4 linked regions of the Alligator mississippiensis genome follow. The protein of the gene in region 2 purifies or fractionates together with the protein of the main gene of each other region. This does not show direct contact. Links are inferred from orthologs where the notes say so. Each region holds a gene or a part of one and is shown on either strand. Other genes may lie near its edges.

Region 1 (7,681 bases), on a different chromosome or scaffold from region 2:
GCAGCCCGGTTTATGGAAACGGGAGTCTCCTCCCTCGCTTGCTCCAAGGGCCGCGTGGCCGAGGGCAAGCGCAACTCGGGGGCATCCGAACCCCAAGCCAGGCCTGCAAGTAGGATGCCCGCCAACGGATTTGGAAACAGCGCAATGCCGGGGAAACACCACGTATCCAGGTCCACCAAGGCAGGTTTCCTCAAGCGTTCCCGGGGATACAACTGCTCTTCTGGCGTGGTTCGGTGTCGGGGCTTAAAGCACTTTATGGAAACGGGAGGCTCCTGTGGCCGCTGGGGTGAGGGCAGATGAACCCCGCGCCTCCGCGCTCGGGCCTGCACACAGCACAGCACAGCACAGCACGCCGCCCGCCCGCCCGCGGTTTGGAGATATCCGAAGCCCCACACACGGGTGGAGGATGATGCCGGCTGCGGGTCGGCACCGACTCCTGGATTTGGCCGCAACACCAAACATTTCTTTACAAAAAAAAAGTTTGGGAGACACCGAGGCGGGGGGCGGGCGGGGACAGTGGCGAACTCTCCGATTCGGCGCTCGTTTGGGCCGATTCGGCCACAGCCAGAGCCGCAAACGAGATGTAAATCGTGACATATACAACGAAAAGCAAACAAATGATATGAACAACAAGCGCCGCTTCCCCGCCGGGGCAGCGCCACGGCCCAGGCCCCCTCCCCCCGGGCCGGGCCGGGCCCTACCGAAAGTCCTTGTCGGTGGACGTCATCTTCTCCAGCAGGTTGGAGATGTGGTACGACACGTTCGTCATGTCGGCGCCGCGGCCCGCCTGGGCCCTGCGGGGATCCGCCGGCAGAAGATGGCGCCAGGCCCCGCGGCCCGGGGTCCGTGTCCGTGTCGGGCTCCCTCTCCTCTCCCCGCCGCCGCCTGTGCCCGGCTGGAAGGCGCTGGAACAGCCCGGCCGCGCCGCCAGAAATAGCCCCGCGCCGCCCGCCCGCCCGCCCGCCCCGCCCCGGCCCGGCCCCCGCCCGCCGCCGGGGACAGCCGCGCTGGCAGCCCTCAGCCTCGTCCTCAACTCCGCGCTTTAACTGGGAAAAACTCCGCCTGTTCTTGTATCCATCAGCTTAGGCTGATGAAAGAATGGCTGTTTTCCCCGTCGTGCCTAGGAGCCTTTCCAGTGACCCCTGCTTCCGCCTGCGCTGTGTCAAATGCAGCCCTTAGGACTGCTTTTTGGGACCTCCCAAACCCTGTGGCGGCAGGGGGCCCCGCAGACGAGGGTCTCCTGTGTGCGTCCGCTCGCCACCCCCTCGCTTCTTCACGGCAAAACTGCATCTTGCAGGGGGCCCCCAAACAACTGAGTCAGTAACTTTGGGAATTAACCTCCCCTGTCCTGTGGGTTTGTCTCCTCTGCTCCTCCAACAGGCCTGGGCCTCTGCGGTCTATTTGGCTGCTTCTCCACCAGCATCTTCTCTCCCGCTCCCTCGGGACAAAAAAGCCCGCTCGCCTAACCCAAACGGTCCAGCCCTGCCGGTCAAATCCTCTCCGAGAACACTGTCCACAAGGCCCAGCTTCTCCCGCAACATCTTCTCTCCCGCTCCCTCGGGACAAAACAGCCTGCTCGCCTAACCCAAACGGTCCAGCCCTGCCGGTCAAATCCTCTCCGAGAACAACACAAGGCCCATGGTAAGTTGCCAAGCAATAATGGCGTGTTCAGCAGCTCACAGGAACAACTGGTCTCAGCAACAGCATTTGTTGGGACTATTTCAAAATTTGACTCGAACGTTGCAAACTGCGCACGTGCGAATGGATCCAACCGTATGTTCTTCTCCTGGTGAGCTTTGTCCCTTCTTCCCTCCCTTTTTCCATCTACACTTCTCCTGTAAGGAACACGGGACTGGAAGGGGTCTCCCAAGCCATCGCAGGTAGCTCTTTGTCCAAAAAGCATCTGCAAGAACATCTTCTGGTGCCTCAGAGACAGAAAACACCTGATTAAAAAAAGGGAGGGGGACTAAAACATGCCACAAGAGAACAGGAGAAACACAGGCATCACCAGTGCCTCTTGGGTTATATTCAGTATATGGCACCAGAACTTATGGTGGCAAAGAACAGGCAAGCAGCCACCACTGCCGAAGTGATGGCCGTCACTGGCCAAATCGTATTAGAACTTCCATCACAAGATCGTTTTTGTGAGCAGCTCGTGGTCCCAATTTCCAAAGCATTTAATATATCCTTAAGGCTACTTTGGTCCCGTTTACAGCTCACGTTCTAAGCAGGCAACACAAACAATTAGAAGAAAAAGACAGCATTATAACTCATTTTGCACCTGTATCATGACTTGTTCCAAGTCAGTCAGGAAGTCTGTGGCAAGGGTAGGAATTAGATCCATATCTCATAAAAACCACGCCCTTGACTACAAGACCATTCTCCCTCCTTTCAGTAGCAAATCATCTGAATGATCTACAGATCTCATTGATACCACTTTATAAATGGTTATGCTTGTAAAGGGAACAGAGCCCCAATATGCAATGACAGGGCTGTAGATATGTTTGTTTTACAAACCAAAATTGGAATGGAAACTTTTCTCCATTTAAATTAAACATTAGCAAAGCTTTTTGTTTGAATGTAAATGTTTTGGAAACTCAGACATTGCATCTCTGTGCTATTGCAAAAGAATCAGAAACAGAAAGTGCCAAGCGGATTTTCTTACCCAAGCTGCAAGACACGCAGCTTGGGTAAGAAAGTCGACAAGTAGAAATAATAGCAAGAAGTATATTGCACTGTAAAATGACTTGGAAGAATATAAGCAGGAACACTGCTTTTAAATGGCAGGAATGCTGAAAAACCTATCTGTTTCCTTAAAGTCCACCTGCTACATTATCACTGTGGCTGTGCTCAGGGACCTCAGTCAGGGACCAAAACCCTGGTGTGCCAGGCCAACACTGTCCGAACATAAGGAAGTGCCTCATCGTGAAAGGACAATGAAGTTCACTTTTACCAACTGTTGTTTTGCTGAGCCCAGAGCACTTCAGAGATAGTAAGCTCAGCTCTGGGAATGCATGAGGGGGAGGATGTGATGATGATGAGGCTGCAAGGTGCACTCAGGTGGCCATAATGCATTGAGAACAAAACAGGTGCTTCTGGTTTTCTCCTACAGCAATACACTATCTCCTTCCCTATCAAGCTGTCCCAAATACAGACACACTGTCTTCTGTAAACCATGATCAGATTGCACCTGCCTTTCAATCTTTACACTGTGGCCTGTAAAGTTGCAGATTAACATTAACTCCATCCTTTTGGCTTTTAAACATCTGGGGAACATTATTAACTTTTACACTTTCATCTGAAGGTCCCAAAGCACGTCACACAGGAAAATAGACATCATTCTCCCCAGTGCACAGATAGAGAAATTGAGATGGAGAAACAAAATTACTTACCCAAGACCTCAGAGGAGCCACCTGCAGTGTCAAAACTAGAAGCATCTGGCCCCCAATCTATTGTCCTCACTGCTGTTTCCACAAAACAAGAGCAAAGGCTCTAGATTAGATCCCATCCCTTCTTGAAACAGTTCCTGAAGGCCCCATTGTTGTTGTCCGAGTTCAGCAAATTACTGCATCTTTGCACATCTCTCTGAGCCTCCCTTCTTTTAAATATCAGCTCACAACCCCTCTTAGCCCCTGAAATAGTTTCTCTCTGTTATGACTGTTTGATGAATGGATATATTCCTTGTTACCATTAGATGCCTTTTTTAAAGGATGCAAAACTGTCTTTTAGGTAATATTTTAAAGTAGATTAGTGCTTTTTTTTTTTTTACTTGCTGTTGCTCTGAGCCTTTTGGGGGAAGTCAAGTGGCTAACCATGAAGTAGTAAAAGCCCTGGGAATGCAGCTGCCACATTTGCAGACTTCTCTTCAGATTTCTGAATATGGGCTTAATACCTGTTTGCTTCTCTCTCCCAGCACCACCTCCTTCTCCCCCTTGAATGTTGTACTCTAATTTTTCTCTCCTTATTCCCAGCTTTCTGCACCTTCTTTCACAGGATGAAGTGAACCTTAGCCCCCAAAAGCTTGAGTTATATCTGCCTACCTACCTAGATATGCCTATAGCAGTGAAAGGCTAGCTTGAAATCAAACAGAAAGATTTGCACCTTATCTGTATCCATCGATCAATACTGCTATTTATACAGCAGCATTTGTGAGCGGAGGTTTGCTTGTTTTATCAGCTGCTGTGCAAGGACAGTTTGCGTGAAGTCAAGCACGGAGGTTTGCACCTTACAGACTCAAAGCAGAGATGTGCAGAGAGAGCTCTCTTCTTTACTCAGTCTGTATAGATGTCTATCTATCAAGATACCTAGCACAAGGGTTTGAGCTGAGGCTGCTTGTGCAGAATCATCACGTGCAGGAGACACCGCCAGAAACAGCTCCCGGGTGAGTCTATGGGCGCAGCACCTCCCCGCTTCTGGGCTTCACGCTCAGCCTGTGCGTCTCCACCCCAGGCGCGGGGGGCGGGCGGAACCCGGGCGCGGCCGCGCTTGTTCCCGACCGGGCCGCTTTCGCCGGCGGACCCGGGCGCTGGGGAGGACGAAGCCGGGCGCGCCCGCGCTTGTTTCCGGCCGGGACGTCTTTGCCGGCGGACCCGGGCGCTGCCACGTCTGAGCGCCGCCGCGGGAGCGGGAGGAGGAGGAGGCCGGTGTCGCCGCCGCCACCATGGTAGGCGCCGGGGCCGGGGGGGTGGTGGTGGTACATAGTCTGGTGGTCTGACCCTACCCCGCTTGTTCCCCGCAGGTGTCGGTCATCAACACCGTGGACACGTCGCACGAGGACATGATCGTGAGTGTGGCTCGGCTCGGCTTCCCGCAGGCCGGGGCAGGGGCAGGGGCCTACCATAACCCCGCTCGGGTCTCCTCATCCTCCGGGCAGGCTTTGCCCTCCCCGCCCCGCGGTGCCGCCTGCGGGCGCCTCTGGTGACAGCCGGGCTGTCGGAGCTGCCCACGAGCGCGGAGGGGCACCCTCGTGCCGGCCCGGCTGCCGCAGGGGGGTCTTCCCCTCCTCCTGCAATCATGTCAGGTTTGGCAGGGATCTTGGGGGCTCGCATGTAGGCCAGCCCCCCGCGCCGAGCAGGGCCAGCCCCAGCTGTCTCATGGAGGGTTGTGGCTCGGTTTAATCTATTTGGGGAGGTTTCCAGAACGGCAGTGTACCCGTGACACGCGACGCGAGCGTGCCCGCATGCGTCAGTTATGGATTTTGATATGTAGACTTTACGTCAGGAAGGCAAAATGCACGCGACTGTTATGTTTAAAAAACATACGGGATTACTGTACAAATCTGCTCCAGCATTTAATATTTATTTTAATGAATGGTCTATTGTTTATCTCCTGGGTGACTCTTGGCATCTCCTGGAGATTTGTCTCTAATTCCTAGAGCCTCCAGGGCAATCCTGGAGGGCTGGCTACCCTCATCGCATCCCAGCCAAGGCTTTGTTCACCTGGGTCTTAACCTCTAAGGAGAGGGACCCCACCACCTCTCTGGGTAGCCTGGTCCTGTACTTTACTACCATCTTTGTGAGAGTTTTTTCCTAATATCCAACTAAACTTTCCTTGCTACAGCTTGAGACCATCGCTCCTTAATGTCATCTGTCACCACTGAGAACAGTCCAGCTCCATCCTCTTTTGAACCCCCCTCCAGGTGGTTGAAGGCTGCTGTTAAATCTCGTCTCAGTCTTCTCTTCTCTGAACTAAATAAGCCCAGCTCCCTCAGCCTCTTCTCAGAAGTCGTGTGCCCTAGCCCCCAAACTATTTTCATTGCCCTCCACTGGACTCTCTCCAACATGTCCACATCCTTTCTGTAGTGGGGGGCACAAAACTGGACACAGTACTCCAGATGTGGCCTCACCAGTGCCCTTGTTGCTAAGAAGGCTAGCAGCATACTAGTCTACATCAGTAGGAGCATTGCCAGCTGATCGAGGGAAGTGATGATTCCCCTCTAGGGAATCATCCCTAGGTGCTGGTGAGGGCCGGAATCCAAAGCTCCACAGGCCACATTTGGCTCGCAGGCCAGAGATTGAGCATCTCTGTTCTAGATCCTTCTTTCTAATGCCTGGGACTTGCTGCTAGAAAACATGAGATAACAGTGTGCACCATTGCTGGAGGGATGAGAAAGAGGCAGATCAGTGTGTCAATTTGTGGGAAGAGGGAATAAAACAGCACTCTAAACATCGTCTTCAGATGGGCAGGTCTGTCTCTCAGTGGTCTGTACAGCTTTGCTGCCTCATATTGTAAAACCCCTTAAACTTACTTGCATGTATAACCCCTTGCCTGGTGTGGCTGTGGGAAGTCAGTGTCCCCAAACATTGCTTTAGTAAGAAGAGGGTACAAACAAGTCAGATAAATTTATGTGCGTAGGCATTAGAACACAATGTGTAATATAAGCCATGAAACCCCACACGGAAATCTGATAACAAAATTTCCCTTTTCACCAGTATAACTTAAAACCTCAACTCATCAGTCTCATACGGACCCATTGGGTTGAGGCTCTTTACCTTGTGCACAGGTAAGAGCTGTTCCAGATGGCACAAGGACTTTCAGCACTTCACAACACACTGACTACGCTAACTTCTGTGGCCTTTTAAGTGCAATTCACTGGGCGTGTCTACACGAGACACTTACAGTGGAGTAGACTAATTAGGTGCGTGGCAAATGTCTTATATCTACATGTGTGCCCCCATTAGGCTACAGGAAAGTAATAAACTCCACAGCAAAGAGTATTTACAAGCACTACCCTTTTGTGGAGTTTTTTTACTTCACAGTACTGCATGTGTAGTCTAACATGGCTGGCTGGTGCACGAGAGTGCTTCTGTGTGGGGGTTGCCTGCTGGCTAGCCCCACACTGGAGCACACTCATGGCCCAGCCGAGCCCCTCCACAACACATTGAGCTGGGTTGGAGCAGCCCCAGGCTGGCAGGCTGAACCTTTGGGCCCCCTGCCAGTTAGGGTTTCTCTGACCTGGTTAGCATGCTGGAGACTCAGGCTCACATTCAGGTGGTGTGCCCAGGAGCAATACACTCCAGTGCGATATGTACCAGAGTTTTTTGCGTGCTAACAGCATGTGTAGATGCACCCACTCTATCAGCAGTCAGGTTCTCTCCCTGCTGGTGTCTCTTCTGTGGGGAAGTTGATCCTGCTCCCAGCTGTGCTCAGACTGGGCTCCTCCACAATCTCCCTGGGGCCCCTTTAATGGTGCTGGGAGCATGTCAGGGAACAAGGCCTCTCCCATGCTCTAATTACACTGGCTCCAGGTAAAAATGGCCTCCATGTTGCAGCTCTTTTATTTTTTCCACTTCCACTCCTGTTAGCCCTCAAAACAGCAGAGGGCCATAGTTCAGACCAACTCCTTGGGTTTGGTTTTCCTAGACTTTGAGTGGCCTCACCCCACTCTGCTTATCTCTTCAAAACCCAAGGTCAGGGGTTACACAAGCATAAGTGATTGGTAACATTGTGTGGGGAGGTGGATCAAAATTTTTGTTCCCATTTGAAATATAAAGAAACCAGAACCAAGATTAAGTAATTTAGCTGAGGCCAAGAAGAGTCAGTGGCAGAGAATAGAAGCCCAGAGCCCTGACTTCTTGTCTCAAAGCACTGGGTTTGACTACTTGTGGTAATTACCTTATTACAGGGGTTTTCAACCTTTTTGGGTCACTGTACCCCAGTGACTGGATGCAGGGGGGGGAGG
Region 2 (7,701 bases):
TTTTGTCAATGGATGTTCAACATCCTTGAATTTCAGAGAGAATTACTGAAAGCCTTAAGTGGCTTATTTTCTAATTTAATAATTAAGCCATTGTATGGAACTTAAAAGGAATACTAAAAATATTTCTAGATGTTAATTAATATCTATTAATCTAGGCCAGGGTTTTCAACCTTTTTTTGGTTGGTGAACCCTGGCAGCCAGTTGGGGGCTGGGGGGTGGGGTCCTGCGCACCCACCTGCGCAGTGGCAAAACCAGAAGTGCCGGTGGCGCGCAGTGGCAAAACCGGAAGCATCGGCAGCACGGAAACAAAAGCGGCCCACCCCCTGCTTCTCTGGGTCAATGCTGCATACCTCCTGGGACCTTCCCAAGTACCCCCAGGTTGACAACCCCTGATCTAGGCTTTAGATTTTCTCCTTTCCATTCTTAATTGTAAACAACAGTTGTGCCAAAAGATGGTACCAAATCTATAAGACAAAAATGTACCTTAGCAGTACTTTTGAAACTTCAGTGCTACCTACTAATTATTTTCTCTACATACCCCTTTCTCAATGATGGGCTAGACCTGGAAAACCGTTACTCATATGGATAATTATTCATCAGGGGCTCATCCAGCACTTCATCTATGTTCATAGCTTAAGCAGTCAGGCTAAAGAATTTTTTTTTTTTTTTTGTCAAGGAAATGAATGTATGAACACTGCTTTTTCACTGGTGGTTGTTTTGTAAACAGACACTTCAGCTTTGATTCAGGAGGCGGCCAGTGGCTCCGTCATGACAGGCACAGTAGCAATGTGAGTTTATAGCAGGCCCTTGTTCAGGATGGAACTGAGGGAAGCATTCATGGGGGCAAACCAGAAATGTGATGGACAAGGGAATTTTTCAGAAATATCTAATTGATATTTTAGTAAGACTCGGTGGCATTTGAATTCTTATATCCTTTAGGCACACTTGAAAAATGTACTCAGTTGGAAATGAACGGTCTATCACAGCACTTATGTTCCACTGCAGGGAGCTGTGCTGGGCACTGTGGATAGCTGCATAACCTACAGACCCTACAACTCGTGTAGGTACTGCTCTATTTGGGTCTGGCTTACTGCATACATCCAAAATAGATCTATTCTGTACAGATACACCCTTTACTGCAGTTATATACAGTTCTAGCTCTGAGGCTGGTAGGAAGACTTTAGTTCTTCTATGAAGGAAACTATTAAATATACAGTATGTCTTTAAAAACATGTGAAGTATTGCTCTCTCTGGTTCAAAAGGGAATCTTTTGAATGGTTACCCATATAAAGACTAATTCTAGTAAATTGTTAATGTATGTCTCTGCCAAACTTGATAGTGTAAGAGTGATGTTGTAGCCATGATGGTCCAGGAATTATGCAAAGAGAAAACATGTCTTAGGGTGCTGTCTTTTTATTGGACAGAATAGGACCAACAAAAGATCTTGCCCTAAGACATCCTTGCCACTGACAATCTTGATAGACTTGTTTTACCAAGGACCATTTGGTTTCATGCAGCCTTTGAGTCCACTGTAGTATGATGAAGGAAAGGAAACCAAGCAAAAACCAATGTAATGGGGGGACAGAACAGTGTATTGCAACTCCTACTGTTAAAATGAACTTGTTTGTTTATATTAACTGACTGTATTTTTTCAGCATTGCTTTCCTGGTTGTATTTTTTTTTTAGTAACTTTTTTATTATGGAATAAAATTTTATAAATAACATTTATTGTACCTGTCATCTCATGTTGGAACTGTCCTGTTTTCACAATGTGATGGGAATTTTTAGAGGTTTGTTTTTTTTTTTTAAAAACACAAGTTTCCTATTCTGCATTTTTGGAATTAATGACCCTAGTGCCTATGTCGTATTCTTCTTCAGCACCTGAAACTCAATGTGTACTGATCACTGTATGCAGAAAAAGAGGTGTAACTTGTAAATAGTTCTCTTCAGGTCTTTTTTCAAGTGTAAGCACCTTAAACTCGGGATTCTTTTTAACATGAGCCTCTCCTTTGCCGTCTTCTGATTAGCTCTTTAAGGTACCATAGCGAGAACAAGCTCTTCTAGAAACAGGAAAGAAAGGATTGTATCATATGGTCCCAAAGCTCACCTCTGCTAAAGCAGACTTATTCCAAAGGCAAAACTTGTTCAGAAATAGTCTCATAGATGCAAGGGGTACAATTAATCTCTAATAAGGATAATTTAAACAGGATCCATGTGAGAAACTCAGGATGTGAAAATGAAATTTGGTTCAGATCTCCCCTCTGCCTAATACCATTTTAAGAAGGGATTTCTGTTAACCCTCCTGCAGAACACCATGGGAGGTTGGGTACCCCTCTTACATGGCATGTTCTTTGTCCCTGGCTTTTCTCTGCATTATTATCAGCATCTCTTGTATAGAAGAGAAGTAAATGGGATTTTCCAGTGCAGTTGTGAGCCCCGTTGAGCTTGTAAGCTCTTTGAGGTTGGAATTGCCATCTTATTAGAAGTTTTTTAAGAACAATCACAATGGCACCCTAACCTAGTCAAAACCTGTATGTACTACTTTTAATCTTGATGTTTTTATGACTGCCTGGTGGCCAGGGCTTATTACTAGGGACCTACTTAATTCATGGAGGCTGCCTCTGTATTTCATGGTCTTGGCATGGCATCAGGTGCCATTTTCACAGCCGTGTATGACAGGCCCTGCCACACCTTCAATCAAGGGATCCCAGAAGTCCTGCCTCTTCTCCAAAACTGACAGATGGCTACCTGTCAATCTCCAGGGAGAGGTGGGACTTCCAGGGGAGCCCTCTGTCAATATTCCCCTCTCTCCCTTGTTCCCTCCCTACCCTGCCACCAACGCTGTGCTCCAAAACACCAGGGTTTCCTGCCCTTTTCTGTTTGCAGCCTGGGCACAGGCATGGGGAGCAGAACAGCAAGGGCTGGCGCTGCTTAGAGCCACGAAGCAGTAGGTGGGACAGCTGCAGCTGGACTCACGTCTTGGTGCTGGTACAGAGCTGCTGCCAGAAATGGAGCTAGTGGAGGCCGGCAGGGGCTGTGGTTTGGGAGTGAGGGGTAGGGGCAGGGAACTGGCATATCAGCGCTGCTCAGTGTCCCACATCCTGGTGAGCAAAGGGGGCAGGGGCAGCTCTAACTTTTCTATGACAAAAAAAACTAAAAGCAGATGCCAAAGTGTGTAGATACTTAGAATTTGTTTATTATAATGATAGAGGCACTGGGTAGGCTTCTGAATTCCTTTAAAATTGTAAATATATCAATAAAACATTGCCCAACTGATCTCTCTATATATAGTGGTATTTAATTTTAATCGTGGAGGAACATGGATTTTCGGTATTTTAATGAGAGAATTTGAGGGTTTTTTATCAGAGAATTTGCGATTTTTAGACGAGGAACACCAGGATCTCTATTGGTGAAGCAAGGGGCAGGAACTGGGCAGAGGAGCCTGCCCAGGGACAGCACTGAGGACCCAGCTGGAGGGCAGATGAGTTGGCTGACTTCCTGGCCATTTGGGGCCAGGAAGGGAAACGTTGACAGTAGGGCCACTGCAAGGACCACATCTTCTAGGTGATAGCTGTCCAAATGGCAGAGCCAGGGCACCAGAAAACATGAAAGCAGTACTGCCTAAAGGCCATATCCATGGCCCACTGGCAGCTGGCCCAGAGGTGAAGGTGGCTTTGCTGCAGTGCCCATACCATAGCCCCGGTGGCCATGCAGCTTCCGTCTAGGTCTAGCAGATGTGCCGCCATGGGGCTGCAGGTCCAAGAGGGTGGATGCTGTCGCAGGTGGCAGCAGGTCACAGCCAGGCACCAGCCCCCACTGCCAGACTGCTGCAGTGGGTAGAGGGTGCAGGGGCCACTAGGTTAGGGCTGCTTCATCACAAGGGGCTAGTGTCCTCAGGTACCAACTGGCCCCAGCCTCAGAAGCTCCTGTCTTATTTGTATCTTCCATATTAACATGGGCCTTAAGGCCCACCCAGCTAACTAATAGCCTTTGTGGAGCCAAAGGGTGAAAGATGCAACTAATTTCTTGGATAGAAATGATGTGGGGGTCAAAGGATCAAAATGTGAAAATAAGTTCTCTAGAGGGGGACCTCAGAAGCCCCTGAGGGCATGTAGCCATGAGCTGCTAGCCAGGGCCACTGCAAGCACTTGGCCTACAAGAGATGAAATGCAAAAATCTAGACCTCTTGGTTTCAAAACGATACCTTTCATTAGACCAACTGGGGACTCGCAAAAAAATATCCTTTTCTCCAACCTTTGGGCTCAAAGGCCGTTCATCAGGCTCTGGAAAAAGTATAGATCGTACATTTTGAACACTTCTACTACACATTGTACAAAAGTTGACATTATCCGAGAAATACGGTAATTATCCTACATAAGGTAACACAGCACCCCTCCCAGCCCCGCTCTGCGCATGCGCCACAGCTAACTGCGCGCCTCAAGCCTAGCCCCTACAAGCCGGCGGCCGCACACCAAGCCCCTCCCCTCCCCTCCCCTCCCCTCCCGCCCGCAGTGGTGGAACAGAAGCCCCGCCTCCTCTGGGTGGGATGCCCTGTCAGGTTGGCTATTAACGGCTCTGGAAGGGGCGTGGCTGGGCGTGATGTGAGAGCAGTGCGCGGCGCAGAGAGTGACGGCGGAAGCCCCGGCGAGTTTGGAGGCAAGCGGGTCGGAGCGCGCGCGCCCGCCCGCCCTTCCCCCGCTTATCCTAACTGCCCCCTCTGCCCACCATGTTCGCTGCTCCCCCCGCCTCTCCGCGCACACCGAGTGGCTCGGCCCGTCGGGCCCTGGGGGCCGCTGGGGGCTCCGTGTCCCGGCCGGGCGGCAGGAGAAGCCTGGCCCTGGGGACGCCGGTCGGCTCTCCCGCGCTCTTCTCCCCGGCGGGCAGGAGGAGCGGCTCCCTGTCAGCACGGTGAGTGCCCCACCCCACTCGCTGCGCGGAAACCCTTGCGCCGCCTGGGCCCCGCCCCCTGCTGCTGCCGCCGCCTCGCTTTGGCTTTGTTGCCCCTGACGCGCATGCGTGGGGTGGGCGCTTGGCTACCCGCACGTGCCGCGCCGCGAGGTCTAGAATGGCGTGAGGTAGGGGGCGTTGTGTGAGGGGAGACCTGAGAGGCCGGTCCTTGCCCGAGTCCGAAGTCAGTCAGGAGGTGGGTATCAGAGTGCCTTTGGAGAGCGACACAGGAGGGAGTGTGTTTTGTGTGTCAAGTCTTTTTTTGATGCATGTCTGTATCCCTGCCAGTGTGATAACTTTTGCTGATGCTTTAAGTGTGAAATCGGTGAAGTTTCTTTGTGGAGATACATTTTTTTTCCCCCTTATTAAAAGTGCCAAAAATGTACAACATGAGCTTGTGTGAGCCCCAGTTCCCTTCATCAGATGCTGGGAGAGGATGTGCAGAAGGCAGAGTCTTCGGGGGGAGGGGAGAAGAAACTGGGATGCAAAAGCTTTTCCTTTCTGTTCTTACACTCTGCCTCATGTGTATCCTTTCCCAGCATCTGTTGGAGGGATCTGGGGTTCACAAAACACGCACTCTCTCCCACACACCTCTCTCTGGATAGGTGTCTATATCTACCTGCATCTAGAGCAGCGTTTCTCAACCCAGGTCGCAACCCAAAAGTGGATCTCAAGAATATACAAAAGGGTTGCAAACAAACTTGAACAGTGGATCAACAAACTTTTAAAATGGATTCTTCTTTAAAAGGGAAAAACTTGGCAAACTGTGGCTTTTCCCTTGCAGGCTGGTAGAGCTCCAGCTTGCCAGGGGCTGCTTGGGCCCCCCCCCTTGCCCCACATACCCACCCCCTGACCTACACACTGTGGGGACAGGGCAGTGGGTCAGGAGTGAGAGGCACTGGGTTGGCACTGGCTATTGATGTTGACAAATGGGTCCTGGTACAAAAAAGGTTAAGAACCTCCAGAGGCCAGTTGGGAAGTGGGGGCAATCAAAGCGTGCAAAAGCAAAACCAGAAGTCTGTGGGAGCAGAAAGCCTAACTACTTTTAAGAAGTGAAGTCATTAATGTATGTATGTTGGCCTGTAAGAGTAAGGGAGTGGATTTGATGATCTAGGGCGATGGTGTTCAACTCATCTGGCCGTCTGAGTTAGGGCCTGTCTGCAGAGGCTGGATCCAGCATGTGGGACCATGTTATGGAGCTACCCATGGGCCCAGAAATTTACTGGCACGGGAGCTGCAACAGTGTTAATTGTCATGGCTCTGGGAGCTGTGGTAATTAATGCTGCTATACCACTCCCTTGTCAAATTTCCAGACCCATGAGTAGCCCCGTAGGCTGAATGACATGGCTCTGTGGGCCATATCTTGGTCACCCCTGACCTGGGGGATCCTTTTAGAGGAACAACAAATCTACTTCCCCTAATCAAAAAAAAGTTCAACTTTAATATTTATGGACTTGGGCATTGTTGATTTGTTTGCTACATAAAGGAACTAAGGTTGTATGAAAGAGGCCTATCCCTAAATTGGGGAATTTAAATAGGATAGCCTTGTTTTATATTTTCTTAAGCTTTTTAATGTTTTCTGGTGGGAGATATTTCAAGATTCTGGGGCAATAGTTTTTTAGTTGGTTCCTGAGTTTATAGCAAAGTGGGGGGAACTTTGATTCCCAGGCCAAATCTGGCCCACAGGATCTATCGCAGGGTGGGCAAAATATGGCCCACAGCCTGGATCAGGCCCGCCAGTTGATTGCATCTGGCCTGTGGCACTTGGATGGGAGACGGTGCCAAGGCATCCTGTGCCACACTCCTACTGTACTCCTGCCTGTCACATCCCCAGCCAGTGTGCACAGCTTCTTTTCAGGGCTGCTCTGGTTGTGGCTACAGCCGCCTGGGTACTGCTCAGCTCTCCCCACTTCCAGAAGCTCCTCCTCCAGCCCCTACTACACTGGTATGGGTGGCAGGCAGTCACGGGGAAGGAGTGGTGGCTGTGGGAACATGTTCCAGGCACCACACACCCAGCCAGGTAGGTGGGGAGGTGTGAGGAAGCTACAGCTGGACAACTTCTGCCTCAGCACGCAGGGCTCCAGCTCCTGGCCAGTGTTCCCTTTAAGGTGTAGCAGTCCATGAGCGCGCCGTTTCGATCCGTTCCCGAATTGGTCCCACCTCCCCCTTTCAGCACGCGCCACTTTGGTCTGCCTCAGTATAACAAAAAAAGATGATACTATAACCTTTATTTACCAAAGTGACTCCTGTCTACCTTTTTCTGTTTTCCAAACAGAATATACAGTGTCCAGGTTAACAGTCTTTCCTGATGCTAAATGAAGTTTACTTTGCATCAGCTTGTCCAGATTATCAGCTTCTAAACGATTTCTAGACTTTGTTTTTATTGTGTTCATGAGGCTAAACCCTCTCTCACAATCTGCACTAGATGCCTGGAAAGTGGCACAGATGTCAACAAGTAATGACAGTTCACTAAATTGTTCCTGTTGTAGTATGTAGGTGACCATGTCTTCAATGGTCTTTATTGCCCCAGTTTTCATCTTCTCACTAACAGTTAATTTAAAGTCCACATATTTTTTGCATAGTTTCTTCTTCAGAGTTTCTACAGATTTGTTTAGCAAGGTGCTATCTATGTCTTGTTGCCAATGCTTTCAGCACCTCGTGCCCAAAAGAGAAATCATTCCTGTTTGATGAAGAGGAAAAAGAATCCTTATAAAAAAATTGACCATTCTTTCAACTCGCCTTCTGGAAATCTGT
Region 3 (7,769 bases), on a different chromosome or scaffold from region 2:
CTGGGGACTTTAACTGGGGATCAGTAAGGAATTTTACCCCATGATCAGATTGGTACAGATGGTGAGGGTTTTTTGCCTTCCTCTTTAGCTGGGGGTGTGGCCATTTACCTGGGACCTTTTGAGCATATTTTGACAACATTTAATAGAAGCAGGACATTGGGTGCCATGGTTCTCTTGCTTTACCTGTGGCAGGTTAGGATGTTAGGTCTATGTTGTATCAGGGTTGATGGTAGTCTTATGTAGAGTTTAGGTTACGGATTTATATAGGATGGTTTGGATAGGGATGATCCTGCCTCAGGCAGAAGGTTGGATGAGATGACCTCTGGAGGTCCCTTCCAGCCCTACTTCTCTATAACTTTATGATTCCGTTTCATCATGAGCCTCAGGTTCCCAAAGCTAATCTGCCTACATAATGACCTGGTTTACTCTATCATATCTGAGTCTAATTGCTATATAACTCTGCTTGCATTTTTGTAATGCCTTCCATCTAAGAATGTCAAAGTTCTTTACAGACCCTAATTAACTTAGTTCCTCTGTGATAAGTAAGTATTATGATTTCGGTATTATAGATTGGGAAAAGTGGAGCACAGATAAAAAGTTACATGACTTTCATTAGGGCACATAGAACAACTCTATAAATGGGAGAGAACTATTGAACAGTTATCAGTAATGGGCCACTCTTGACCCAGTACAGTAGATAGTTAATTATTGTTGTAGCTGTGTATAAAATACCTTTTCAGCACCATTACATAAAGTATAATTAGCATTAGTTGTCATAAATATATCTTTCTTTTTTTTGGAGCTAGAACTGAAGCCTATGGAATAGGTAACTGCAGACCTTGGATATCTTCACTCTGAAGAATGTGCCTAAACAAGTGAACCAGTGATTCTCAACCAAGGTGCCATACAATCCTTTTAAGGTACCACAGAATATTAGTATGTTTGGTGTGCAAACACCTACATATGATTCATAAGAGACATCAAAAGAAACAATAAAAATGCCTTTAAGTACATTAGAAGCCAAAGATATGCCAGGGAGTCATTTGGGTCTTTGGATGATCAAAATGTAAAAGGGGTGCTAAAGGATGACAGAGCCATTGATGAGAAACTAAACACATTCTTTGCATCTGTCTTCACTGTGGAAGATGTTAGAGAGATTCCCTGACCAGATCCACTCCTCTCTAGGGACAAGTCAGTGGAGCTGACTTCAGCTCTCTTAGCTACTCCCAGGTGCAGTCTTGGGTCCCTGACCCTGTCTCCACCTCTCCCAGGAGCTGGGCCCCTAGCCCTGACTCTGTCCTTCTCTGGGCTAAAGGTCCCTGACTGTGTCAGTGGCCCCCTCAGCCTTTAACCCCTACCCCTGGGAGCTCCCTCAGGCAGTGAGGTCTACAGCTGCCCCTGTGGCACTCTGCATGGGGCTGAGCTCCACCTGCTCCTGCCCAGGGTGGCCTGCACCATGCTGCTGCCCAGGGTTTGATTTACACTCTGACTCTTGATGCGGTCTGCAGTGGTGGCAGCCGTAAGCTGGAAGGAGCAGCCGCCACCGCCTGAGCTGCTTAGAAAGGTGCAGGGCAGGCTGGGAACTGTCATCTCTTATGGGGGAGCTTATGGGAGCCTCTCATCTCTTATGAGGGGGCTCTCATCTCTTATAGGAACCTAGGAGGGAGGGTGGAACCTTTTTTGTTCAATCCAAAAGTAAATATTTTGAATTACTGTTTACTTTTGAATAATTGATTATTGGTAAATTTTAAAACAAGATGTCATTAAATAAATGTTGTTATTTGTCAGCCAAAACAATTTGACAAAACATACATTAATTTGAAAATCATTTTGATGGACCTAAACAATATATTAAAAAAATGATACTTTGACTGAAAAAAATTACTTATTCACTAGTTGTTCTTTTGCTTTAAGCTTTGACTACATTAGTAGATCATGCAAACTGCAGAATAATGGCTTTTTTGACAGATGAATCACTCAATGACTGGAAACAATTCTTCTGGAAAAAATGAGGCATTGTTCTGTATAAATATAATCAACCATGTACGGTAAGAGAGAGGCGTGCTTCACAAAAAACAGCAAACAAAAATACCCATTTAGGAACAGTACTGTGAATTTAAGAACTTAGAAAACATTAAAGCTGTTTTATATTACAGAAAATGTGTAACCAGCTAGCTCTTTTGAAGAAGCAGTTCCTTAGGCTACAAGAAGTCCTACTGCCTAAACGTCCCTAGACATTGCTTTTTTCTGGTTAGCAAGTATTGGATGGTCCCAGATGAGTGCACAAATGCACAGCTTTGTTATTCTACTTTATTTTACAGTAAAACCTCTTTGTATTTCAGAAATGTGTAATTTTATTATAATATTCAACAACATTTGATTTCGTTTTAAATTACAGGATTGCAAACACCAAGCATGACCAACTTTACTTGTTTTATCATTATTTACACTGTGCATTTTTTACAGCTTACTTACTATATAGCAAATTATGAAAAATTAACTTAATTTTTTTTTGCATAAGATTGAAAAATGTGAAGTATTTTCAAAGCTATGTGATTATAGCTCTGCAATCCAGGCTGGCATCTTTTTTGAAGGCTGATTCTTACAGTACAGCTTCAACATCAAAAGCATTAAAACATCACTCCTATCTACTCATTCATTCTAGGTTTCCATTCAAAATTATCCATCCTATTTTTCAAAACTCCCTACGAATTTGCTACAAGTGATTCTCCAGGCTTGACCAAATTCCCTTCTGGAATAAGAGGGCACGACTTAATTCCTCTAATTTCTAGAAGGACGATTTGCAAATCTTCCTCTGCTGGTTAGCGTCTTTCTCTCTATTCGAACTCATACATCAAAGTGCTTCTGAGGCATCGCTTCTTGAATATTTGGCTGTCAGTGTAATATACCAAAATCTGAACTACTCATCTCTGTTCCATAAGCCTTAGCCATCTTTCATTCTCCATAGCTAGCAACAGTTTTACCATTTTTCCTGCCTAATGAGCCTTCTTCAAGGTACAGGTGTTTTAAACTTTTATTATAACACTAGCTAATTGCCCGTCAAGAATGAGGGATTTTAGAGTGTTTACATGCCCCGCCTCCTCACCCTTCAGGGCCAGCCATGTAAAGACTCCTTCTGCTGTCACTGCCTCTTCCTCCAGCCTCTGCTGCAGGGGCTCCCTCCTTCTGCCCAGTTCCCTTCCCCTCCTTTCCTCCCCGCCACCTCTCCTTCCCTGCCCACCACCGTGACCCCCTGCTGCTTCCCTTCCTTCCTTCCTTTTCCTTCCTTCCCTGCTGCCTGGCCCTAACAACAGCCACCACCATGACCCCCCCTTCACCTCCCCCCCGCCTGTCCAGGCCCACACAACCTCCCTCCCTCCCCACCCTGCTGGCTGTTGTTGAGGCCCCCTTCCCGTTCCCATCCCTCCCTTCCTCCCTCTCTGCCACCTGGCCCCAGGAGCCACCACCGTAACCCCCATCTTCACCTCCCTCAGCTTCGCTCCCCTCCCTTCCTCCCTGCCGACTGTTCTGGGGGGTGTCAGGGATGGGTGATGGCGGGGGGGAGGGTGTGCTGCCACCATCTACCCCACTTTGCCCTCAGGCAGGGAGGCATGGGGAAGCTTTCCTGCTAGGGGGCATGTTTGCCACTACCACAAACTTTGCTGGCAGTAACTCAAACATGGGCCAGCGCAGCCAATCGCCGCCTCCCCTCTCAGTGGTGCATGCAGTGCATGCAGGAATGGGGCACAGGACTTCATAGCTGTTTCAGTGTTTGTAATTAAAGTAAAGCAAATTGCTTCAAGTCCTTTTCTCTTTTTCTGTTTCTAGTGAGGGATCACATTTTCTAGGACAGGTGCTGTGGGAGGTGGGATCCTCCCCATAAGGGAACGTGCAGGAGTCACACTAGCATGAAGTAAAAGAGGGGGACCACAGGGGAATTATAAAAGGACCTCTTGAATGCATGGGTGGATCTAGGATTTTGAAAAGGGGGGTGCAGGTGGAGGGTGCAGGATTTTGAAGCAGCAGGGTACAACATCCCGTATAACACAAACACATTGTTCCTTAAGTGAAAAGGCAGCTAGAAGATCTACTAATATGTCAGAGGCCCAGTGCTGTATAAGATCGAAGCAAAAATATAACTTTATTGGAACGTATACTCATTTACTAGGTTATAAACTTAAAAAAACACAACAAACTTGCTAAAAGAGCCCCAAGATATTGTTGTATTAGCCCTGCAGCCACTAGAGCTCAGCCTACATCTCTCCTACAACCAAGTCTGGCCTTCTGGAGTGTCCTGACAGCGCACCCAGCCCTTCACGGTCAGTCGTGGCTGCCCCTGGGTTCACGTCCACCTCGGCCAAAGTTTGCAGCTAGAGTTGGGAGCAGGATGCAGCGCGGGGCGACCCGAGAGGCTTGACCAGGAGCGGTTAGTGGGCACGACGGGGGGCGGGGCTAGCGTTCTGCGAAGGGCGGGTGCGGAGGGCGAGGTGCGTCGTCTCCTCTAATCCGACACATTTTTCTTCAGGGAAAAGGATCACGGCGCCCCCGGCTGTCATGCGACACGGAAGCAGACACAAGTTGTGCTGCCAGGAGCCCGCAGCCCGAGCGGCGCCGACCTCCCGCCGCTGGGGGCGCTGTGCGGGCGGGGGAGCGGCGGCTTGGCGGGCGCACAGCGCCCCTTAACGGCCGCGGGCGGGCAGGGTAGGGCAGGGCGAGCGGTGCCGAAGGTCGGCGAGCGGGGGACTAGGCGCCGAGGATGTTTGTGGCGCGGAGCATCGCGGCGGATCACCGCGACCTCATCCACGACGTCTCTTTCGACTTCCACGGGCGGCGCATGGCGACCTGCTCCAGCGACCAGAGCGTCAAGGTGCGCGGGGAAGGGGGCGAGTCCAACCGTAATGGCGGGGGTGAACCCACCCCTCGCGCCTGCTGTGGTCTCGCCCGGCCTTGTTGGCGGCCGTTGGGCGAGTCGAGTCGAGTCGTGCTGTGCTGTGGGGGGGGGGAACCCCCTGCCCGCTCCCCCCCCCCCCCCGGCGTCTGCTGTGGTCTCGCCCGGCCCGTTGGCGGCGCGGGCGCAGGCGGGCCCTGGCCCGGCCGGCCTGCGGCAGCCACGTGGTTCCGGCGGCGGCGGGCGGGCCTGGGGCTTCCAGCGCGGGGCCGAGCCGTAGCCCTTCCCTTGGGGTGCTGCAGGAGCCATTTACGTTAGGTCCTGCGCGTGTGCGGGGCTGCGGCCGCTGCTTAGGTCTTTGGGGTTGGAGTCTCCTCACTTGCAAGTGCCGGGCCCGGAGGGAGACTGTGGCTACGGGGACGCCCCGGGGCCTGGGGCAGTCTGCCAGCCCCTTCTCCCGGCGGGGCTTGGGGGGGTCAGTGGGTGCTGGCTCCGCTCCCTGCTCCCCCTTGGAGCCCTCATGGGTAACTTTTGACCCCCCCCCCGACCCCTTTCCCGCTTCATTATTGCCCCCAGGTTTTGTCTTCCGTTGCCTTCCCCATGAAGGGAGGCTCATAGGTGTCTTTGTGGGTGTAGGCCTGCTGCAACCCCATTGCACGACATGCCAACAGCTTGGTTTTCAAGTTTCCTTTCACTAAGTGGAGCCATATCTGCCTTTCATATGCTGGTTTTATTTATTTACTTATTTTAAAAAAAGACAGGCATTGTTAGCAGGGAAGTTCCCCTAGAAGGTTGGCCTGGGCCTCTCTTTTGTTAACAAGGTAATAAGGGAGAAATTAATATATTTTAAGCAGACTGCGAAATGTACTACCTCTTCCTTTATGAGCATCTGCAGTCACAGCTGCATCTGCATATCACTTGTAAAATGTAGGTGATGAGTAGAACTGTATCACTTCAAATTAAGCTGATATAATGTAAAAGATAACATACTTAAGGAAGGTGTGACTGTCTGTGAAGGTGAAGGAGTAAGGTTTAATAATATGTTCAGGGTTTGCTGTTCATGAATGGTATAATGCTGCTTTTTATCATAGAAACTTTATGTTCAGTAAGTCTCATGCAGTCTCGCATGTGTGGTGGTATTCCATTTTTGGTCTAGTTTACTCTACAGGGTATTGTAACCTGAGAGATTGCACTGTCAAGTAGCCAACATCATAGCTAATGCTGTATCAGAGTACCATGTGAATGTAGGCTTGCAGGCAAAATTATTTCCCTTAAGTTTGCCTAGTGAGCAAGAATAGATTGCATATGCCTAGTGCACTTACTCCTTTGCTGTGATTGGTGACTTCTTCAGCCACTTATGTGAAGGTGCCACAGAGCGCGTCTACATGAGATGCTGACTACGCAGTAGCCTAGTACTTCTGGGCAGTAGTGTCATGTGGCAAAAACTGTTACGTGATGCTACTGTGCAGTAGTATCACAAAAAAGGTACTGTATTTGCCAGTGCTGCTCTGCAGAAACTGAGGTTACTGTGCATTTATCTAGTACTTGTTAGTACATGCATTAAATAAACGAGCAGTAATAACTGCGCAGTAGCATCTTGTGTAGACTGTCACAAAGATCCAGCTAGATTGCCCCCATCTTTTTTGGTATGTGAGATTACTGAGGAAAAGAGAGTGGAAGTGATTTGATCAAGGTCCTATACCCAAATGAGAGACATTGGGCGTAGAAAAAAGACTCCTAAACTGTTGATCTTGTGTTCTGACTGCAGATGTCCACAAAGGAAGAGGTAGTAAATTTCACAGTCTGTTTAGAATATATTAAGTTTTCTCTTACTTACTAACTTACACATTTTTGGAAATGTTTGAAGCAAGTCTTTGGCAAGATTTGCATCTTTTGTAGTACTGATATAACACTGTTACTTGTCTAAATCTATCTCAACCATGCAGTAGGTCCAATAAAAGATATCACCCATAAAAACGCTTGCCTCACACATGTTCTGGACTGTCATTTATTTTTACAACATTTCATATACTGTATTTATTTGATTCTAAGAAAAGGTTTCTCCCCTCATTTAACATTGGGGAGAAAGCCCCTTCACTTAAAATCAATATGAAGGCAGTGGGATATGTAGTTGCAGCTGCTCTCTGCCCTCACTGCCAGCTCTGCACTGTGCCATCTCCCCCTGAAGTTCCTTCCTCCCATGTCCCTACCCCGTGCAACTCTGCTCCTCTACCTGCCCCTTTCTTCCCCTTTCCACCCCCTTACCTATGCTTCATGCCAACAGGTTTTAGCCATGCTGCAGTTTGGGGCACTGCTGCTATGGACCTGGGCTAGGTCCGAGTTTAGGGCCTCAGGCTGGAAAGGGTCTAGAGCCTTTCAACACAGAGTAAGGATAAGGGAACAGGGAAAGCGGGGAGCAGTCTGGGGAGGGGAGAGGGGAGCAGAAGATTGGGACAGGATGGGGGAAAGGCAGGGCTAGGGCTGGGGGTGGGGTGGGAGGCCTACAGGGGGTAGAAGTGGCAATGTGGCAGGCACATGCAGGTGGCAAGCTACTTAACCTCTCCATGCAACCTGCCTCATTGCCTGCCCCCCTGCAGCAGTGGAGGGCATGAATTAAAGGCAATCCTCCAATAATTAGTTTCTCTACATGGGAATTTATAACAAATTTATAGTTTTTCCATGTAGAGAATCTGACTGTTGGGGGGTCATCTTGAATACAAGTAAATACAATATTTTTAAATGTCAGTCACTTGAAAAATGTTTCCATGTAAGTGCTGAGTTGCATTTGTAGTCACCGCATTAGGAATATTGAAATTTTACTTGTTTAGACTTGTCACCTAAAGTCCCAATCCCCCCCACCATTGTCTTAAAGTTGTAACCT
Region 4 (7,769 bases), about 330 Mb from region 2:
TTCATCCCAAAAGGAAACTAGTCAAGCAAAAGTTAAAACGTATGTTAGAACGGCAGCTAGAAGAGAAGACCCCACCTTACCAGCAGCAGGAGCGGGGAATTTTCATTTTCAGAAGTGCATCCCCAAAGGGATAAGATATGGTCTAGATGCAGGGACAGGAGCTAAGAAGCATCAAATTCAAACCCCATCTCTGACACCAGTGTCCTACTATGAGGCTTGACTAATTCATGCTTGCAAAATCCCTTGGTGACAGCTGCCTTCTATACAAGATCCAGATACTCTTATTATGGTGACATGAACCGCTGATTTTAAGGGAACGTGCGTGTGTGCGTGCACGTTTGCTGTGGGAAGGGAGAAACCTACCGTAATTTTCGGTTGAGGACACATATGTCAGAAGGAGGAGAGCAATGTTTTCAAGCAGGTTGAGCCCGAAGTTGAAGCGGCAGAGCCGAAGGTAGCGAGGGTGCGTGCAGTGGCAACTCTGGTAGTGGTTCCAGTACGCGATGGCCACCAAGATGCGTGGAGCCGAGTGCAGGCCGATACACAAACGCCACACATAACGCTGAGGGGTCTCACCTCCGATAGCTGCACTGATGGAGGGCAGGTAATTTGAGACCTAGGGAAGAAACAACAGTTTGTGGATCAGACATCAGGACTCTGTATTAGAAGGTCTCATTTACTGCTCTCTAAACTTTTACAGGCCAGATCCTGTCCTACCTATTAGGTGTCCAGATGGACTTAGGTGCCTAAGTGTGATGCTGTGCCACTGCTCAAATCCCTGAAAAGCTATTATACAAAAGTTGGCTTGTCCTCCTGCTTGCTGTTTTGTGTGACTTGGTCTTGAGGGGAAGAGGAAGTCGTGTTACAAACTTGGGTGCATTAAAGGTTTTTTTTCAGGTGAATGAGGATTGTGCACATAAGCACATAACAGGTGGAAGAGGATGAGTCCCTACCTTTTATAATCATAGAGAAAGACCCCCAGGTCTTCTAGTCCGACCCCCTGCTAAACCAGTGCAGCCAAATGTCAGTCTAACCTGCTGTGGAAAACGACCAGGGATAGAGACTCCACAGCCTCTCTAGGTATCTTATACAATGCTTTGCCACCCTCGTAGTGAGAAAGCTCTTTCTAATCTCTAACCTAAATTTCCCCTGCTGTAATGTGAGACCATTGCTCCTTGTCCTATCCCCTGCAGCCACAAAGAATAGTCCATCCCAATGCTCTGTAAAATCACCCTTTGAGTATCTGAAGGCTTATCACATCTGTTTTCTCCAGACTAAATAATCCCAGTGTTTCCAATTTTTCATACTGTGTTTCCCAGGCCTCTAATCGCTCGTGCTGCTCTCCACTGGATGCTTTCTGATTTGTACCCATCTTTTTTGAAATGCGGTGCCCAAAACCGGACACAATACTCCAAGGGAGGCCGCACCAACGCTGAACAGATGAGAAGTATCACTTCCCTGGACTTGCAAGAAACTATTCCATTAATATGGGCCAGTGTGCTATTGACTGTTTTTTTTCTTTTGCACCCAGAGCACACTGCTGGCTCACATTCAGATTCCAGTCCACAGTGAACCCCAAATCTTTGTCTGCAATCTGTAGCCTAGCCAGTCACTCCCCAGGCTATATCTGTACATGAGAGCCTTCCCTCCTACGTGTGGGACTTTGCACTTGTCCTTAATGGATTTCACTCGATTACTTTCAGACCATTGCTCCAGTCTATCCAGGTCATTCTGGATCCTAAATCCCTCCAAAGTTATGCAGCTCCACCTGACTTGGTGTCAGGTCCAAGGCATGAATGGAGATATCGAGTAATACCAGGCAAGCACAGACCCCTGGGAAACCCCCCTCAAAACCACCTCCCAATTAAAGTGAGTCATCAGGGGCTGCTCTTTGGAGCATGATGATCCAACCACTTATGTATCCACCTTCCAGTCTAGGTTAAACTACTGTATTTCCTTGGCTTACTAATGAGAATGAAAAATGCATAGCACAGAGGACATAATTATTCCTGTTTCACTGACGAGGAAACTGATAGAAGCAGAGAGTGATTTGTCTGAGATTACACGGCAAATCAGCAGGGGAGGCATGACACCAGATGTCCAGCCACCTACTCAAACCAGTAGACCACACCACCAATCCTAGCAGCCATACCTTTAACACACTTCCCTCTATGAGGGATTAGAGGGTCTGTAACTTACGCCACAGTGTGTAGCCGTCGTCTCCTGGAAATGGAACAGCAGAGACCAGATCACGCAGAAAAGAAACCCAAACAGCGGGCAACACACGGTCCCAACCGCCAGGGTGGTAAAGCGAAGTCGAAACAGGATCCCATCTCGATCCAGAGGCAGCGGTAACTGAAACATGTTGCTGGACCTAGAAGCAAAAAGCCAGTGTTTGACGGGTGCCCCTTCTCCCACAGGAGGACTTCCCAGCGCCGATGGCCACAGCAGATCCAAGCGATGCAAAAGGCCAAGGTGTGCAGCAAGTCGGCGCATGACCTTTCACATCCGAAACCCCAGGTTCAAACTCTGCATCGCCGGACTAAATACAAGCAACGTGAGTAACGGCTCAGATCTTCAGGCAGGTTGCAGTTTAGCTTCTGTGGGGGTTGAGGGGGGGAAGCTACAGCAGCGTTGATTCAGACAGACCCCCTAATCTAGGGGCAGGGTCAAGAACGGAGCGAGAAAGAGAGTCCCGCACGGACTAATCCGAAACGGTGCTGCACGTCAGTCGCTTCCATCACAGACAATCCTGAGAGCAACTCTCCGGATCAGGTCCGGAGGCTGCAGAGCTGGGACCCTGAACCAGCAAGGCTCGCCCGACCCTCCGGACCGTCTGGGGAAAACAGCGCAGCAGACGTTTCACAGCACGGATCCGGGCAAGTTCAGATCCTCAGCTTTTATCACCATCAGACGCTGAAATACATCAGAGGACAACGTTATCCCAGCACAATTTGAGCTACAAAAAAATTTGCCGGGTTGTGTCTAGACCCCTCTTTATTAACCAGGGTGCCTTGCCTCTCGCTCGAGCCTCGTGGCCCCCTTTTCCAGCCTGCAGACTAATATAGACTCATAGAAATCATAGAGAAGTGGGGCTGGAAGGCACCTCCAAAGAGTATGTAGTCTAACCCTCGGCCTGAGGCAGGATCATCCCAATCCAAGCCATAATCTAACCTCCTAGTAAAACTACCATCAACCCCGGCACGGCACAAGTCTGCACACCACGCACCTGCCACGAGCGAAGCAGGGCGACCACAACAGTCAGTGTCCTGCTTCTATAAAAGATAGTTAAAATACACTCGGGGCGATCCCACGAAAACGGACATTATCACAGAAAACGAGGGGGGGAAGGGACCTCCGGTCCAACCCCTTGCTCCAAGCAGGACCAGCCCCAATTATATATCATTGCAGGCTTACAAATCCCCTGACATACACAACAGAAGCAGGGGAGGCAACCAGCACGGCCCAGAAACCTGGGAAATCCCCATAGCCGAGCGCAGGCATCGCTACGCCTACTACGTTTTATCGAACCTCTCCTTGCGACGGAGCCCACAGCTTTCCGGAGAGGCGCCCGTCTATCCCGCTCCAACAACGAACACGCTGCCGCGAGATCCGACCGAAACCGAGTTTGCTGCCGCGGGGGGGCCGCGTCCTCCTCTTCGAGCTGGATTTGCCGAGAGCGCTCCCGCAAATCCCTCGGGGTCAGAGGCGGTCACGTGAAGCAGCACGGGCAGGTGTGCATCACGCATTGAACACGCGCGGGCTTGCACGGGGGGGGGGGGGGGGGGGATGACGACTCAGCGGGCATCGTGATTCGCACGCCCCGTCGTAACACCGAATCGCGCCGAATCCCAGCTCCCCCCCCCCCGTCGGCAAATGACAACCGCGCGCTCTCCCGGCGGACTTTGCTCGGAGCCGGCCTTGCCCCGGTTGCAACGCGGACACGCCGCGCCTCAAAGCACCCCCGTGCCCGTCTCCCCTCACCCCTCACACGCGCCTGGCACCAATAACCTGAAGTCTGCTCCCATTTGCACCGCTTTAATCCCCCCCCCCCACACTGCAAACGTGAGGTCACAAGATCTCCCGCACCCCCCCTGCCCCTGGGGACCCCCCCACGGGCCCCAGCACCCCTCCCAGTGCCCCCCACATGCCCCCAGTTGTCGTCAGCGCCCCCCCCCCCGGGACCCCTGAGGGAGGCGGGCGCGGGGGGGGGGACTCACGGCGCGCGGCGGCCGGGCCGGGCGGCGGGGCGGAGCCGGCGGCGCAGTCAGCCCAGCGGGCGGAGCCGGCCCGCCCCTCTGGATGCAGCTGCGCATCCCTCCCGCAAAACGGCTGCGGGGGGAGACTTCCCGTGGCGGGGTGCGGGGAGCCGCGCATGCGCACATCAACCCTGTGCCGGCGTGCGGACGTGTTTGGCGGCTCCCCCCCCCCTCACTATGGGAACCGCAGGCCGCCCCTCTGATTGGCCCCGCCCCGCCTTTCGGGCAGCGGTTCGAAAAGCCCCGGATGTCGGCTGGGCGCGAGGGGATTGCTGGGCCTTCCCCCCCTCGGCCAATCAGAACGCGACCCCGCGGCCCAATCAGCGCGGGGGAAGGCGCTCTTGCCCAATGAGAGCCGGGCAACTTCGGTTTCGAACCGCGGCGGCCAATGGGGCCGCGGCTGCAGGGCGGGCCAATGGGGCCGGGGCGGGGCGTGAGGGGAGTGTGACGCAGTTTCCCTCTCCTGCGAGGCGGCGGTAGCGGCGGCAGCGAGCGTCGTGGCGGCGGCGCTGGGCCCAGGCGCGGCCCAGGCTTCGGTAAGCGGGGCCGGGCCGCGGGGTGGAGGCCGCGCCGGGGTGTCCCCCCGCGGGCACGAGGGGCTGAGCGCGAGCGACCTGCGGGCTTTCCCCCGGCTCCGGCCGCCCGCCCGCCCCGCCGACGGCCCAGGCCTTCCGGGCGGACAGGCCGCATCCTGCTTCCTGGGCTCCATAGCAACCCCCTCCCCCGCCCGCCCTCTGACTCCTCTCCCCACCGCCCTCCTCTCCTTGTTATCCTATCTTATTTTCCTTTATTTATTTTTAGGTCTTGCCCTCATAGATTCATAGATGTTAGGGTCGGAAGGGACCTCAATAGATCATCGAGTCCGACCCCCTGCATAGGCAGGAAAGAGTGCTGGGTCTAGATGACCCCAGCTAGATACTCATCTAACCTCCTCTTGAAGACCCCCAGGGTAGGGGAGAGCACCACCTCCCTTGGGAGCCCGTTCCAGACCTTGGCCACTCGAACTGGGAAGAAGTTCTTCCTAATGTCCAATCTAAATCTGCTCTCTGCTAGCTTGTGGCCATTGTTTCTTGTAACCCCCGGGGGCGCCTTGGTGAATAAATCCTCACCAATTGCCTTCTGTGCCCCCGTGATGAACTTATAGGCAGCCACAAGGTCGCCTCTCAACCTTCTCTTGCGGAGGCTGAAAAGGTCCAGTTTCTCTAGTCTCTCCTCGTAGGGCTTGGTCTGCAGGCCCTTGACCATACGAGTTGCCCTTCTCTGGACCCTCTCCAGGTTATCCACATCCTTCTTGAAGTGTGGCGCCCAGAATTGCACACAGTACTCCAACTGCGGTCTGACCAGCGCCCGATAGAGGGGAAGTATCACCTCCCTGGACCTATTTGTCATGCATCTGCTGATGCACGATAAAGTGCCATTGGCTTTTCTGATGGCTTCGTCACACTGCCGGCTCATGTTCATCTTGGAGTCCACTAGGACTCCGAGATCCCTTTCCACTTCCGTGCCACCCAGCAGGTCATTCCCTAGGCTGTAGGTGTGCTGGACATTTTCAACGTCCACTCCGCGTGCCCGCGTTGTGAGCCATTGACTCCTGTCCCTATCCCCGTTTATTTCTTTTCATCATTATCATCATCATTATTATTATTACTATTATTATTATTAATGCGCACACAAATGTGCATATATGTGTGTGTGTGTGTATAATATATATAGAGAGAGACATATAGCCATGTATACACACACGTGTGAATCCATGAAATCACTTACGATTATAGATGAGTAGTATAGCTACATTGATGTATTTATATCGTAAACAGCGATCCTGTTGTTTTGGAAGGACTTTTTTGAGGTGACTTTAGACTTGTTGAAGGGCTCTTGGCCAGAGTCTCCCCCGGCTGCAGGGTTTTCTCGAGTCTTATCCGCTTTCTTAAAGCGTCCGAGGAAGTTTGGACAGATGTTTTCCAGGGAGGTGGGCGACGCAGCGACCTTGTTTGCTGGCGTGGTGTCGGATCGGGCATCGTAAAGTCGAAACGGGGTGTCGGTTTATAAACGTCGTTAAGTGCCGTTCGTTGCAACTCGAAACGTCATAAGTCGAGGGCTGCCTGTATGGTGAGAGGCCGTCAATAATGAACCCCTCTTGACTTTCTCTTTACCACTTAATATTTTGTAAACCTTTGTCCTGTCACCCCTCGGGTGTCTCTTCCTAAACTGAAGAGGCCTGGCCTCTTTAGTATCTCCTCCCTACCACTTATCTTTCTTGCCCTTCTCTAGACCAGTGTTTCCCAACTGCGTGTGGCACAAAAGTGTGCCATCAGAAACAAACAGGTGTGCCGCCGAACTTTGCCACGGCAATGAGTTACAATAGGCGTGAGGATGGGGGAATGTCTTAACAGGTGTGTCGCAGAAAATTTTTATTAAAGTAAGTGTGCCTTGGGCTGGAAAATGTTGGGAAACGCTGCTCTAGACCTCCTCCGGTTTTTTGGTATCTTGTTTGAGATAGGGAGACCAGAAATGGGCGCAGTATTCAAGGTGCGAATGCCCCAGGGATTTTTAAGGGAGCATCATGATACTTCCAGTTTTGTTTACAATTCCTTTCTTCGTAATCTCTAATGGTTTTGCTTGATGGCTGCTGAGCTCATGTTCTTAGTGAACTGTCACAGGTCGCTTTCCTTTGTGGCGACAGCCAAGGTGGAGCTGTCTCCTATCTAGTAGCAATGGTTCTAGAGCAGATTGCTAGAGAAGCAAGGGTTAGGTAAGAAGAGAGAGGGGAGAAACAGGGAAAGCAATAAACACCAATTATTCCTATTACATGGGGTGAGGAGTTGTCTTTATTTTTCCTAAGGGGTGGCAGTGGAGTCGTCTTCCTCTGACGTCCTGTCACCGTGCTCAAATTTGAGTCCAGAAATGGGCACGTACTATTGCGCTGCCTCGAGCTAATTTTTCACAGGAAAGAGAACTCTTGTCCAGCTCAAGCTTACTTTCAGGGGAGAAAGCCTTCAGTAGTTACCTGAGTGTAAAGCCAGTTGCTAGAGGAAATCCTCAAGGGTTGAATGCTGTTTGAGATTCCCCATCTGAATTTGCAGTCTACAGTAATAGAAGAAGCTCCTCTAATTGGATTGGAGTGAGGGGGATGGGAAATGGCTTGTAAGCCAGCTGTCAAAAGAGACCTCAAAAGTCAGTGGGTTACTTGCACCCTTCAGTAGCACAGGAAAGATGAATAAGGTTACGGAGTTAATTGCGCTATAACTACTTCTAGGAAAATACCTTGGCCATAGGAACTATTAAACTTCTGCATATCAGAACACAAATATACCTTTATCACGTGGATGTACTGCACTGTGAGGGTAGTAGTAGCCTTTGGATCTAGGAACCACGATGAATATTTTAGAATAATACCACAAATCTGTTAATGATATTTGTTTAATTTATTGGAACTTTTGAGGGCATACTTTTGTAATATAGCCTGAAGCAAGAAGTGGGTTTTTTTGTTTTGGCTTTTTTTACTATAAA

Evidence for each region.
Region 1: the proteins of NUP133 (region 2) and SEC13 purify together in Homo sapiens (affinity purification with mass spectrometry; 4 studies listed by BioGRID and IntAct, counting the BioPlex papers as one, with this or other methods). This does not show direct contact. The link is inferred for Alligator mississippiensis from reciprocal best matches to the Homo sapiens genes NUP133 and SEC13.
Region 3: the proteins of NUP133 (region 2) and SEH1L purify together in Homo sapiens (affinity purification with mass spectrometry; 4 studies listed by BioGRID and IntAct, with this or other methods). This does not show direct contact. The link is inferred for Alligator mississippiensis from reciprocal best matches to the Homo sapiens genes NUP133 and SEH1L.
Region 4: the proteins of NUP133 (region 2) and NUP98 purify together in Homo sapiens (affinity purification with mass spectrometry; 6 studies listed by BioGRID and IntAct, with this or other methods). This does not show direct contact. The link is inferred for Alligator mississippiensis from reciprocal best matches to the Homo sapiens genes NUP133 and NUP98.

The regions. Positions count from the first base shown.
Region 1 is NC_081835.1:15,063,009-15,070,689, forward strand, and holds the start of SEC13 (protein SEC13 homolog), read left to right. Parts: upstream 1-4,554; 5' UTR 4,555-4,660; coding exon 4,661-4,663; intron 4,664-4,738; coding exon 4,739-4,783; intron 4,784-7,681. Other genes in the region: cullin-associated NEDD8-dissociated protein 1, read right to left, coding at 702-769. UniProt on the Homo sapiens protein: Functions as a component of the nuclear pore complex (NPC) and the COPII coat. At the endoplasmic reticulum, SEC13 is involved in the biogenesis of COPII-coated vesicles.
Region 2 is NC_081824.1:149,061,560-149,069,260, forward strand, and holds the start of NUP133 (nuclear pore complex protein Nup133), read left to right. Parts: upstream 1-4,615; 5' UTR 4,616-4,726; coding exon 4,727-4,908; intron 4,909-5,063; exon of another isoform or gene 5,064-5,143; intron 5,144-7,701. UniProt on the Homo sapiens protein: Involved in poly(A)+ RNA transport. Involved in nephrogenesis.
Region 3 is NC_081826.1:97,973,423-97,981,191, forward strand, and holds the start of SEH1L (nucleoporin SEH1), read left to right. Parts: upstream 1-4,686; 5' UTR 4,687-4,756; coding exon 4,757-4,867; intron 4,868-7,769. UniProt on the Homo sapiens protein: Component of the Nup107-160 subcomplex of the nuclear pore complex (NPC). The Nup107-160 subcomplex is required for the assembly of a functional NPC.
Region 4 is NC_081824.1:481,358,975-481,366,743, reverse strand, and holds the start of NUP98 (nuclear pore complex protein Nup98-Nup96), read left to right. Parts: upstream 1-4,692; 5' UTR 4,693-4,795; intron 4,796-7,769. Other genes in the region: PGAP2 (post-GPI attachment to proteins factor 2), read right to left, coding at 364-616, 2,200-2,496. UniProt on the Homo sapiens protein: Plays a role in the nuclear pore complex (NPC) assembly and/or maintenance. NUP98 and NUP96 are involved in the bidirectional transport across the NPC. May anchor NUP153 and TPR to the NPC.